Kluyveromyces lactis: one gene and its partners. The protein of the gene in region 1 purifies or fractionates together with the protein of each later gene. This does not show direct contact. Links are inferred from orthologs where the notes say so. Each region holds a gene or a part of one and is shown in the gene's direction. Other genes may lie near its edges.

Region 1 (3,758 bases):
TATCCCGGTCGTCTGCTGGCGTCACTATCTTATTTTACTCTAGAATTCAGTCCGTATTTTTTAGATACCTTTTGTCGTTTTATGTATACGTTTTTATACCCTATCAGTTTTCTTGCAAATTCCATACAATCCTGGAACACAGAGCTATCGGCAGAGCTTGCAACTTGATAGCTTATAAACAGGGCCATTAATGTTTCTGGTTTTCGAATGGCTTAAGTATCTATAACCCTTGAGGCATAATTTTTCAGATAGATAAACTTCGGAAATAGAGCAACACCTGCCAAATGAATCAGGTTTACTGGCTCATATTGGTGGTACTAATCCACGCAAAAATCTTGTGTCATGCACAGGGTATAACAGTGACAAAATACAACACTGTTCGAATAATAAGAACGAAAACCGTCTCAACGACAACACATTTCACAACTTCAAGAACAATTGTTTACAGAACAGCCTCCGGCACCTTCACGGAACAAGTGTCCACAAAACCAACGGCCACGGACCCGGATTTCAAAACGGAAATCCTGGACGTGCACAACTCATTACGCAAGAAACATCAGGTTTCATCGCTAGTTTGGGCTCCAGAACTTGCATCTAGAGCACAAAATTTCGCCAATTCTTACGTATGCAACGGGCAATTAGAACACTCAAAGCTGCCTTACGGAGAGAACCTTGCTCTAGGATATAATACTACCTCAGCTGTTCTAGCATGGTATAACGAGGTAAAACTGTACGATTTTAACAACCCACAGTTCGCAGCAAATACAGGACATTTCACCCAGCTGGTATGGAAAAATACCTCGAAACTTGGCTGTGCATTTATACGATGTGGCCAGTATTACGGTCAATATACAGTATGCGAATACGACCCACCGGGGAATGTAATCGGAAAGTTCAGTGAAAATGTCTTACCCGAGAAGTAAAATAGAAAACTGTCCGATGACAGAAGACTTGATAAGCGTTGGTTGATTCTTTCCCTTGCAAATCACGAACTCAGGGTAACCAACACTTCTCCTTTCTTTTCACGGGCTTTCACACGATTTGGATCGTTGTTCTTTTCGAAGCTTCGACAATATGAAGAAATAAGAAGTGAAATTCAGTTAGAGAAAAGAAGGTTTAAAATATAAAAATAGTTAAACTTTGAATCATAGATACCGGTTTCAAGCCACCTAGATTAGCCGAATAAGTGAATTGTGGGATCAATTGGTGTACTATAGAATATACTCAACCGTTTTTCTGTATCATAGTCGTGTGTGTTTGCTTTTTCTCTTTTATTTCCTGTGCTTAATACTCAATCACTCACTATATTGAATATTAGTTAAGGGTATTTGTTTGTTTGTTACTGATTTTTTAGTTTTTGATTTACTGCTTTGTTATAACCGGACCTTCCTTTATTTTCAATAATGTCTGAAATCACTCCTGATGTTGCTGAAGATTATTCTCAAATCGTGGTAGATACGCCACCTTCTTCTGCTGATGATTCGTCGAAATTAGCTGGCCAAACAATTGAACAAACTGAAAAGTCTAATGGTGAAGAAGCTGCCACTGCGCCAGCGGTCAAGGTTTTATTTCCAAGATTGGGAGGAAATGCTGCTGCGTCTGCTTCTGGCAATGCTGTCTCCTGGGGGTCTACTCTGAAATCAGGTAGCTCCGTTAACAGTGTCTCTTCTCTTTCCCATGGCAAAAACGGACGTGCTTCTTCACCTGGTTCTGCTAAGCCATTGCGTTCGAGAAACATTCAGGAAGTGTTCTCGCTAGACTTAGATGCACAATACCAAATCACAAAGACCGAATTCTCCAGCATCGTTCAGTCTGTTAAACAAAAGTACGATGTCTCTGTGGAATCCACACTATCAAAGACTTCGCGTACTTTCTTGATCTCTGGTTCTTCTGACAAGATTGGTCTTGCTAAGAGAGAGTTGGTCAAGAAGTTGACTAAACCTGTCAATGTGACTTTTGAAGTTCCTTCAAAAACTAGATCTGCCATTATCGGATCTGGTGGTAAGACCATCAGAGCAATCTCAGATGCTGCTGGTGTAAAAATCGTGGTTCCGAAGGAGGTTGATGAGGGTACCTACGATTCAGATTTGGAAGACTATTCAGTAACCATCTCTTTACACGGCGATGCTGAATCTGTTCTCGTTGCAAAGAGTAAGATCTTGGACGTCGTGAAGGAGGAAACTAAAAACGCCAAGATTGTTCTTCCTGTCGAGGACTCCAAGTTGGTTCCCTTCATCGATCTAGAATCAGTTGAAATTCCAGCTGATGTAAAGGCGCAGCTGTTTACAAACAATGACCCCGCTGAAATCGCATTAAATGGTCCTCGTGATAATGTTAAATTGGCCAAGGTTAAGGTGATCAACTATTTGAACGAATTGGGTCTAAAGATCGTGGTGAAAAAGGAAAAGGTCCCATTCAAATTCCATCCTTTGGTAAAGCCTTCAGAATTGAATGAGAAGTTCCACGTCGAAGTACAAGCTCCAAGTATTTCCGGCGATGATCAATTCGTTTTCATCGGAAGCTCTGACAACGTCAATGAGGCCATCGTGTACGCTAAGAACTCATCTAAATTCCATACCGTGGAATCATTGGAAATTTCAAAAGCTCATGGTAAAAACGTTAAACATGCTAAGAACTTGATTCTATACTTCCAAAAATATAACGTCTTAGATCAAATTACCGAAGACTTCCCACAAGTGCAAGTAGTTTTACCTAAAGTGGAAAGTATTCCAGCATTGGAATCCGTCAGTATTACCTTAATTTCAAACAACGATGCCGCAGACGCTATCAAGACCGTTCGTAAACAAATTGTAGCTTTGGTTAATGAATTATCTCCAGAACAAACGTTAACTATTTCAGATTTGGATTATCATCTATTCCACAAGGACATCAAGCAAATCTTGGTCTCGACTGAAAGTGATGTCCCATTCATTCAATTGGGTGACTGTTTCCCAGGTAATGACGATATCTTACTAATCACCAAGATCAATGAAGATGATTTCAAGCCATCTGATGATGAACTAAAAGTTAAGCTGGAATCGGTCAACCAACAATTGGAACCAATCAGAAAGAAGCAAAGCCTTTTAGCATCCAATGTTGTTTCCCTTGCCAAAAAAGAACAGGATGAACTACTCGGAGAATCAAAAGTCACTTTGAACTTGATCAATGAAGCTGTTTCTCATGCTGGCGCTCATGCTTTAATCAAGTTGAGCACCCCTTCAGTCAACCAAATTACTATCAGAGGTGATGACCATGGATGTAAGATTGCTTCCGCTGCTGTCAAGTCCATCGTCGAGAATTCATCAACAGAATCCAAGATCACATTCCAAGTTCCAACCAATGTAGTTTCGAGATTGATTGGTCCAAAGGGTGCTAACTTACAACAAATTCGTGAAAAGTTTGACGTTCAAACTTTCATCCCACAAGATTCTAAGGATGAGAATACCGATGTTACATTGACCGGTTTGCAATACAATCTTGACCAAGCGAAAACATATATTCTAGCAGAAGCTAAAAAATGGTCCGATATTATCACTAAGGAATTAATCGTCCCTATGAAGTACCACCGTACATTAAGTGGACCTCAAGGCACTTATCGTATCCGTTTGGAGAACAAGTACTCCGTTTTCATCAGATTTCCTAAGGACAGTGAGTTAGTCACCATCAGAGGTCCATCTCGTGGTGTCAAAGCCGCTTATGATGAACTGAAGGCTCTTTTGGACTTCGAAATTGAAAATGGCCATAAAGAGCTTCTCAAA
Region 2 (3,438 bases), on another chromosome or scaffold:
TCCAATTTTCTAACTGCTGCAGTTCTGGCACCCTCTATTTTACTTTCCAAAGAGCCGTTCAGTCCAAGTTCGTCATCGACGCACAAAGGGTGTGAACAGCATGTGTTGGTCCAAAGATCTGCAAAAGTAATCTTTTCAGTGGCACGTTGTTGTAATAGTAATTTACCATCGCTGTCAAAAAGGAACACAGAAAATGCGCGATGTAATAGACCTTGGTTGATGTTCTCCATCAAATGACATAGTTTTTTTGTACCAGCACCAATCGCAGTATCGTTCCAATCCAAAACTATACAATTTTCATTCATCAATCTGATTTGTTCCTCATCATATCCATCTAGCAAATTATCCGTTTCGCCAGAGGATTCAGTAGAATGTGTATTTGGTCTGTTGTTCAATGGGATGACCTCAGGAAACTTTTCTAAGATGTCATCTTGTTCTAATGAATGCACAAGGTCCGCATAGGTAGAAGTTTGAGTTGACATCTCTTCTGTTGGTCCGCTAAGTGAAGGTTCAGTTTGAAATTCCTGCACGTCCTACAGGATGCATACGCTTAGCTTTATTCCGCAAGATGGTTTTCGAAGATTCTTTAAAGCAGAATGAGCTCAACTTTTCTTCTTTTAAATTGTTCGTTAAATCTAATTTTTTTTTTGTTTGCATTTCGGTATCGGCCAAATAATGGAAACTTTTATACGAAAGACACGCGATTCGAGATGCTACCAATAGTGACACAGTAGGCTGCTGCTGTTGTCCATTTCTTATTCCATTTGTTGAAGCTTTGCAATGAACTAACACACTGTGAGAGAAATGTCCCAGTTTTATTTAATATAGAAAAATCTCAAACGACAGTAACCGGAAATTGTCGCTGAGGATCACCTACGTATTACAATGGAAGAGTAGGAAACTTAATTAGAAGGATGAGAAGCTGTGTAGTAAACGAAAATTTGTAAATGACCAGAATATATTGTCTACCCAGATTGAAGCTCAAGCTTTGTCATGTTCCGGAGGGAATAATACACACAAAAGGTCCGATCCGTCTGAGAGCACTGTTGATCTGTAAGAAGATTCGTGGTGTCTTCCAGAAAAAAAAAGCTTTTGGGAAAGATTCGATATTTTTTTAATTGAACGTTGAAAAATTATTCAAACGTGTTAAAAATTTCAGATTCTTGAACAGAATCAAATTCTTGATCTACAAAGGTTGTGTTTGAGATACGTTAATTGAGACAGTATTTTTTCAGTTCAATTAGTGTTATTAAGTTACCATTTCTATACTTAAAGTTTTCTTTTTAACTGTAACCTTTTCCACCAGTCTGTTTTGTGTTACTTGTTTCAGTTGCTAGTTCCAGGTGACCAAGTGAATAACCATAGAATAATAATATATTACAAGGATGTCCACTGCTAGACCAAAACAACATATTCAGAAACCTGATGTTACTGTCAGAGACAAGAAGCTAGAGCCATTGAATGTTCAGTTGAAGAAGATTGATCAAGAATTATCATTGATCAAGCAACAAATTGATAATACCGATTTCTCCAAAGATGCTAAGAATTCAAAGGAAAAGCTGCAAGGTGAATTGAAGGAAGTGATCAAAACTCAATCGGACTTGAAGGCTAAGAGACAACAAATCCATGACCAGATTAAGTTCTTGGATGCTCAAATCAAACGTAAATCTGGTGAGATCAACGATTTGGTCGGTAAGAACAAGAAGTTCCAAAATGTTGGTCAAATCAAGCAAAGATTGGCTGAAATTGACGATGAAATCGCTTCTGGTGACTTATCCTTGGTGGAGGAAAGGTTAAGAGTCAAGGAAATGCAAAGTTTGCACAAATTGTCCAAAGATTTCCAAGTTGTGGAACCAATTAGAAAATCTATCGAAGAAGAGAAAGAACAAATTGATGCTTTGAAGAAGGAATTGAACGCTTCTAACCCGAAGGAGGTTGCCGCAAAGTTCGAAACTATCCAAGGTCAGATCAATAACTTAAACTCTAAGAACCAAGTTGTTTACGACAAGAGAAAGACTTTAATCACTAAGCGTTCTGCCTTGTACAACAAGCGTGACGAAATCTACACTCAAATTAGGAAGATCAGAGGTGATTTCGACAACGAATTCAAGTCATTCAAGAAGAAGTTGGATGAGCAGCGTTTGAAACGTGAAGAAGACGAAAAACTATCCAAGATCTTAGAAGATAAGGAAGAAAAAGTGGGCAAGCTACAAGAAAGACTAAACCATGCCAAACAGCCTGCTTTCACCTTCGAATTGGAATCCATTGAGAATATGTTGACTGTTTTGGATCCAACTTACGTTAAGCCAGTGAAGAACGTCTTGGGTATCGATTTCGGTAGCACATCTCAACAAACTGCCACCCCAACTAAGACTGTTGATTCTGAAGGGTTAGTGCCAATCGTTAAGGAAAGAGAAGGATTCTTCTCCGCTTCAACCGCTTCCAAATCAAAGAAACACAAGAAGAAGGCGCAATCTACAAAGTTCTCTCTAGAGCCATCCATGATCGCCTTGTTGGCCGAATTAGATATCAGAGTACCATTATCCAAGGGCGATGTTCCAGCCACTGTTGAACAGTTGAAGGCTAAGCATGAGGACTTGACTGCCAAGCAACCAGAAGCTACTGAAAAGAACATTGCAGAAGCTGAAGAACAGCTCAAGAAACTTAACTTAGAGTACGAAGCTAAAGAACAGAAAGTTAAGGAAGAAATTGAAGCCAAAAAATTGAAGGAACAAAAGGAAAAGGAGGACGCTGCTGCCGCTGATGCCGCTGTCCCAACTGAAGCTTAACTGATGTAGATACGAGACTTATTTTTTTCTGTTGTCCACTGCTTGCCTTTTTCATTCTTGTATTTCAAGTACATATTAAAACTTATCGGCTGGAAAAGATTAAAATGTTTCATCTGGAGTGTCCTCATAACAAAATGACCCCCATGACTTCTAAATTATATTAGCATCTTAAACAGAAACTGAATTGATTATATGTAGGTTTATGTTTGGATATTCTTATATAATCTTTTAAAGAAAGCACGTTATAATACCATCGTATACTTGATTGCAATAAGATTAAGACTCCAATATCATAGTAGGAACTGAAGATTGGTATCGATTTCATGCGAACAAGATAATTGGGGCTTTTGAGTGTATTTGCTACTTAACTCGGCTCTCATATTTTGCAATAAGCTTAAGTAGGACTGTTGAGGTTGTTTTGATAGTACTGTTAAGAAAGCCCAGGACATTGCACCAGTGTTTTGACCATTTTCAGTAGCATCAGCCGACGTTTGATTATCTTTTGAACCACTAAACATGATGACATCAGCTGGCGAGAATTTTATTTGCTTAACTCTTTCTCTGTCGACGTTATTATTGGACTTGGTGATGGTGGTGAATACATTTCCTAAAGAACTGACCAAACTGGTTGTATTACCAGTAGCGTATG
Region 3 (3,437 bases), on another chromosome or scaffold:
CATGGACTGTGTTCAAATTTGGTAGATGTATGAGTATACATTTAACACTGATCAAGACCACTGATGGATTTACGTGTTGCAAATGTGGAACAACTCTATCGATAATTTCTTGAGACTCCATAGGGTCAATTGGTTTGTGTTCGCTCAATGACTCCAAAATAGTGATTCTTGCCCATTCTGTACATTCGTTCAACACGTTCAAAAACCTCTTAACGTTTTGAGATACTAATTTCTTGATATCTATTGAACCAGGGTCCAATTCGTTAATTTCGTGCAGTGCGGCAAGCGCGTTGGCAACAACCATTGGATTATCGTCAGACAAAGCGTCTTGCAAATCGTTCAATACGCCCAATTCACGGCATAGGTCCGGGTTCAATTGGAACAATTTTGCAACGCATAGTACCGCGGTTCTTCTCACGTACGGATTATCATCGACTAGAGTCTTTCTTAGCGGAATCTCAATGTATTCCAAGATCTTATCAACTCTGATCATCGACATGGTACGGATTGCCATAGACCTAATCAATGGGTTCGGATCAGCTGCATCGCTGACGAATGTGTTCACGACAAGGATGCATAACTCCGGATGAGTTTCTGCATAATTAGCCACGTAAAGGTATACCAATTTCTTCTGTTCAATGTCTTGAGTGGCTATATTCTTCAAAACGTCGGGAAACAAAGATGAAACATCTTTGCCGGAAGTCATCTGTTGAATAATCTTACGGATCGCGTCCTTTCGGGTCTGTGGGTACTGAGATACTAATCCATTTCGTAGTTCAAACAATTCACCTTTATTGGAAATCTTAGGAGCCACTCGTATGGCGTCTCTTAAGAACTTCTTGATCTTCTTATCAACACCCATTGTTTCCCTTGGTATTTATGAGAAAGCAGAGCAAGCAATTGGCTGGAGGAAGGAAGACTAATCGCTTGGGGACAGAGTCTTGAATATAAACAGGTTCATCTATTTATATACAGATTCCAGTTAATTTGATTGATGTTTTCTATGAATACTGGAAAGTGAAAGCTTGCTGGCGAGGTCACGTGTGTGCTCACGTGTATCGGAAGATTCCGTAACCCGGACATCATATGATGTCCGGGTTACGGTATTGAGAGATCTCACTTCCTAATAAGAATGGTTACTACCTGATTAGGGAAATTGCTAAGGGAGATTCACACTTCTGCGTAAATTCTTACGCACCGCAGTGTGGTGTACTGATATACCCGACTTTTTATAAAAACACAGTCCTCAGAGTTGCCAGACCAAAAGATACGCGCGACACCCTTACACCATTCAGCGTACCACTCAGCACGCACCACGCACATTGAAAAAAAATTCTTTTCTAGCCAAAGCTCATCACTTGAATATTGAGAAAGTATTAAGAACTTGATATAACTTGCAAGAGTTTACTGCATTAGTATTAAGCTATCAGTTCTTGTTGATTGAAATTGTTATCTATTCTCTTCTTTTGATTCATCAGAACAACACATCTCAAGGAATTAACTGAAAAGAAATGTCTTCCAGCAATATTATGCTTGTTTTGAGAGGTACCCTAGAAGGTCACAACGGCTGGGTCACCTCTTTGTCTACCTCTGCTGCTCAACCAAACTTGTTGGTTTCTGGTTCCAGAGATAAGACTTTGATCTCCTGGAGATTGACCGAAAACGAACAACAATTCGGTGTCCCAGTTAGATCTTACAAGGGTCACTCTCACATCGTTCAAGATGTTGTTGTCTCTGCTGACGGTAACTACGCCGTTTCTGCTTCTTGGGATAAGACCTTGAGATTGTGGAACTTGGCTACTGGTAACTCTGAAGCTAGATTTGTTGGTCACACCGGTGATGTTTTGTCCGTTGCCATTGATGCTAACTCTTCTAAGATTATCTCTGCTTCCAGAGATAAGACCATCAGAGTTTGGAACACTGTCGGTGACTGTGCCTACGTCTTGTTGGGTCACACCGACTGGGTTACCAAGGTCAGAGTTGCTCCAAAGAACTTGGAAGACGGTGAAGTCGATGACGGTAGAATCACTTTCGTTTCTGCTGGTATGGACAAGATCGTTAGAGTATGTGCCAGACTTTTTTCTTTTATTGCATTGCATTGCATTGCCTATCTCCCGATTAGATTGATTTACCTTGGAATTCAGGTCCTCAGTTGTTTCCCCGTAATATATTCTCAAAATACATGGCTCAATTCACTATACTATGACAAATGATGTTTCTTATATTTGCTACTTCAGACGTAACCTTACATGGTTTCGAATGAGACATACTAATTATCACCAAGATCTCTGATGTCTTTTTAATTAGTGAATTAAAATTTTGAATTGAGTTTTGTGCATTTGAATATCATGGAGCGAGCAATTTGGGCCTGTATTCCCAGATATATCTCATGGCTTTGAACCAAATATCATTTTTACTAACAATATTTTGGGAATTATCTTCCATTCCCCTTATTAACTACAGTCCTGGTCTTTGAACGAAGACTCTTACAGAATCGAAGCTGATTTCATCGGTCACAACAACTACATCAACGTTGTTCAACCATCCCCAGATGGATCTCTAGCTGCTTCTGCTGGTAAGGACGGTCAAATCTACGTCTGGAACTTGAAGCACAAGAGCGCCTTCATGAACTTCGACGCTAAGGACGAAGTCTTTGCTTTGGCCTTCTCTCCATCCAGATTCTGGTTGACCGCTGCTACTGCTTCTGGTATCAAGATCTACGACTTGGAAAACGAAGTCTTGATCGACGAATTGAAGCCAGAATTTGCTGGTTACACCAAGGCTCAAGACCCACACGCCGTTTCTTTGGCTTGGTCTGCTGATGGTCAAACTTTGTTCGCCGGTTACACCGACAACGTCATCAGAGTTTGGCAAGTCATGACCGCCAACTAAGTTGTAGCAATTTAAAATCTCTTAATTTTGCTTTTATTCCCTACAATTTATTCTTGGTCGTCGTCATTACCAATAAATCATAACATAAATCCCTTATGTATATATTAGTTATACAAAAACTTACATTATAATATTAGATCTCCCCTCGGTTAATCTGTCTTATAAGAGTTCCGATATTGTTATCTTAGCTTATTATTATGTTTTCAATGGTTTCTACCTATACATGCATAATATGCATTTCGGTTAGGCAAAACCGTGGCACAGGGCTATTCCAAGGGCAACCCGGTACCTTAGCTTCCCTTTCTTCATATCACCCTTTCTTTCTCTCTCTTCCTGGCGAAAACGCAGAAACTCGTACTCTATCTATAATGGCAATTCTATTTACTTTTTGAACTTTTACCGTTCACTTTAAACCTCTTTGCAAAATATTCCGTTTCAATTAAAATTTTTCATATTAACAAACTTAAACTTACATTAGCTTAGGTTGGACTGGACTTGGTTCTTCTACTGCTCATATTGTTTTTGTGTATTCAGATTATATTTGC

Evidence for each region.
Region 2: the proteins of SCP160 (region 1) and BFR1 purify together in Saccharomyces cerevisiae (affinity purification with western blotting; 6 studies listed by BioGRID, with this or other methods). This does not show direct contact. The link is inferred for Kluyveromyces lactis from reciprocal best matches to the Saccharomyces cerevisiae genes SCP160 and BFR1.
Region 3: the proteins of SCP160 (region 1) and ASC1 purify together in Saccharomyces cerevisiae (affinity purification with mass spectrometry; 3 studies listed by BioGRID). This does not show direct contact. The link is inferred for Kluyveromyces lactis from reciprocal best matches to the Saccharomyces cerevisiae genes SCP160 and ASC1.

The regions. Positions count from the first base shown.
Region 1 is NC_006040.1:203,709-207,466, reverse strand, and holds the start of SCP160 (Scp160p), read left to right. Parts: upstream 1-1,403; coding exon 1,404-3,758. Other genes in the region: KLLA0_D02420g (CAP domain-containing protein), read left to right, coding at 285-923. UniProt on the Saccharomyces cerevisiae protein: Involved in the control of mitotic chromosome transmission. Required during cell division for faithful partitioning of the ER-nuclear envelope membranes which, in S.cerevisiae, enclose the duplicated chromosomes.
Region 2 is NC_006042.1:82,677-86,114, reverse strand, and holds BFR1 (Bfr1p), read left to right. Parts: upstream 1-1,385; coding exon 1,386-2,789; downstream 2,790-3,438. Other genes in the region: isopentenyl-diphosphate delta-isomerase IDI1, read right to left, coding at 1-482; Ca(2+)-dependent cysteine protease MCA1, read right to left, coding at 3,080-3,438. UniProt on the Saccharomyces cerevisiae protein: Implicated in secretion, nuclear segregation and in maintenance of cell size.
Region 3 is NC_006041.1:1,085,267-1,088,703, forward strand, and holds ASC1 (40S ribosomal protein RACK1), read left to right. Parts: upstream 1-1,511; coding exon 1,512-2,063; intron 2,064-2,204; exon of another isoform or gene 2,205-2,296; intron 2,297-2,463; coding exon 2,464-2,892; downstream 2,893-3,437. Other genes in the region: APL2 (Apl2p), read right to left, coding at 1-862. UniProt on the Saccharomyces cerevisiae protein: Component of the ribosome, a large ribonucleoprotein complex responsible for the synthesis of proteins in the cell.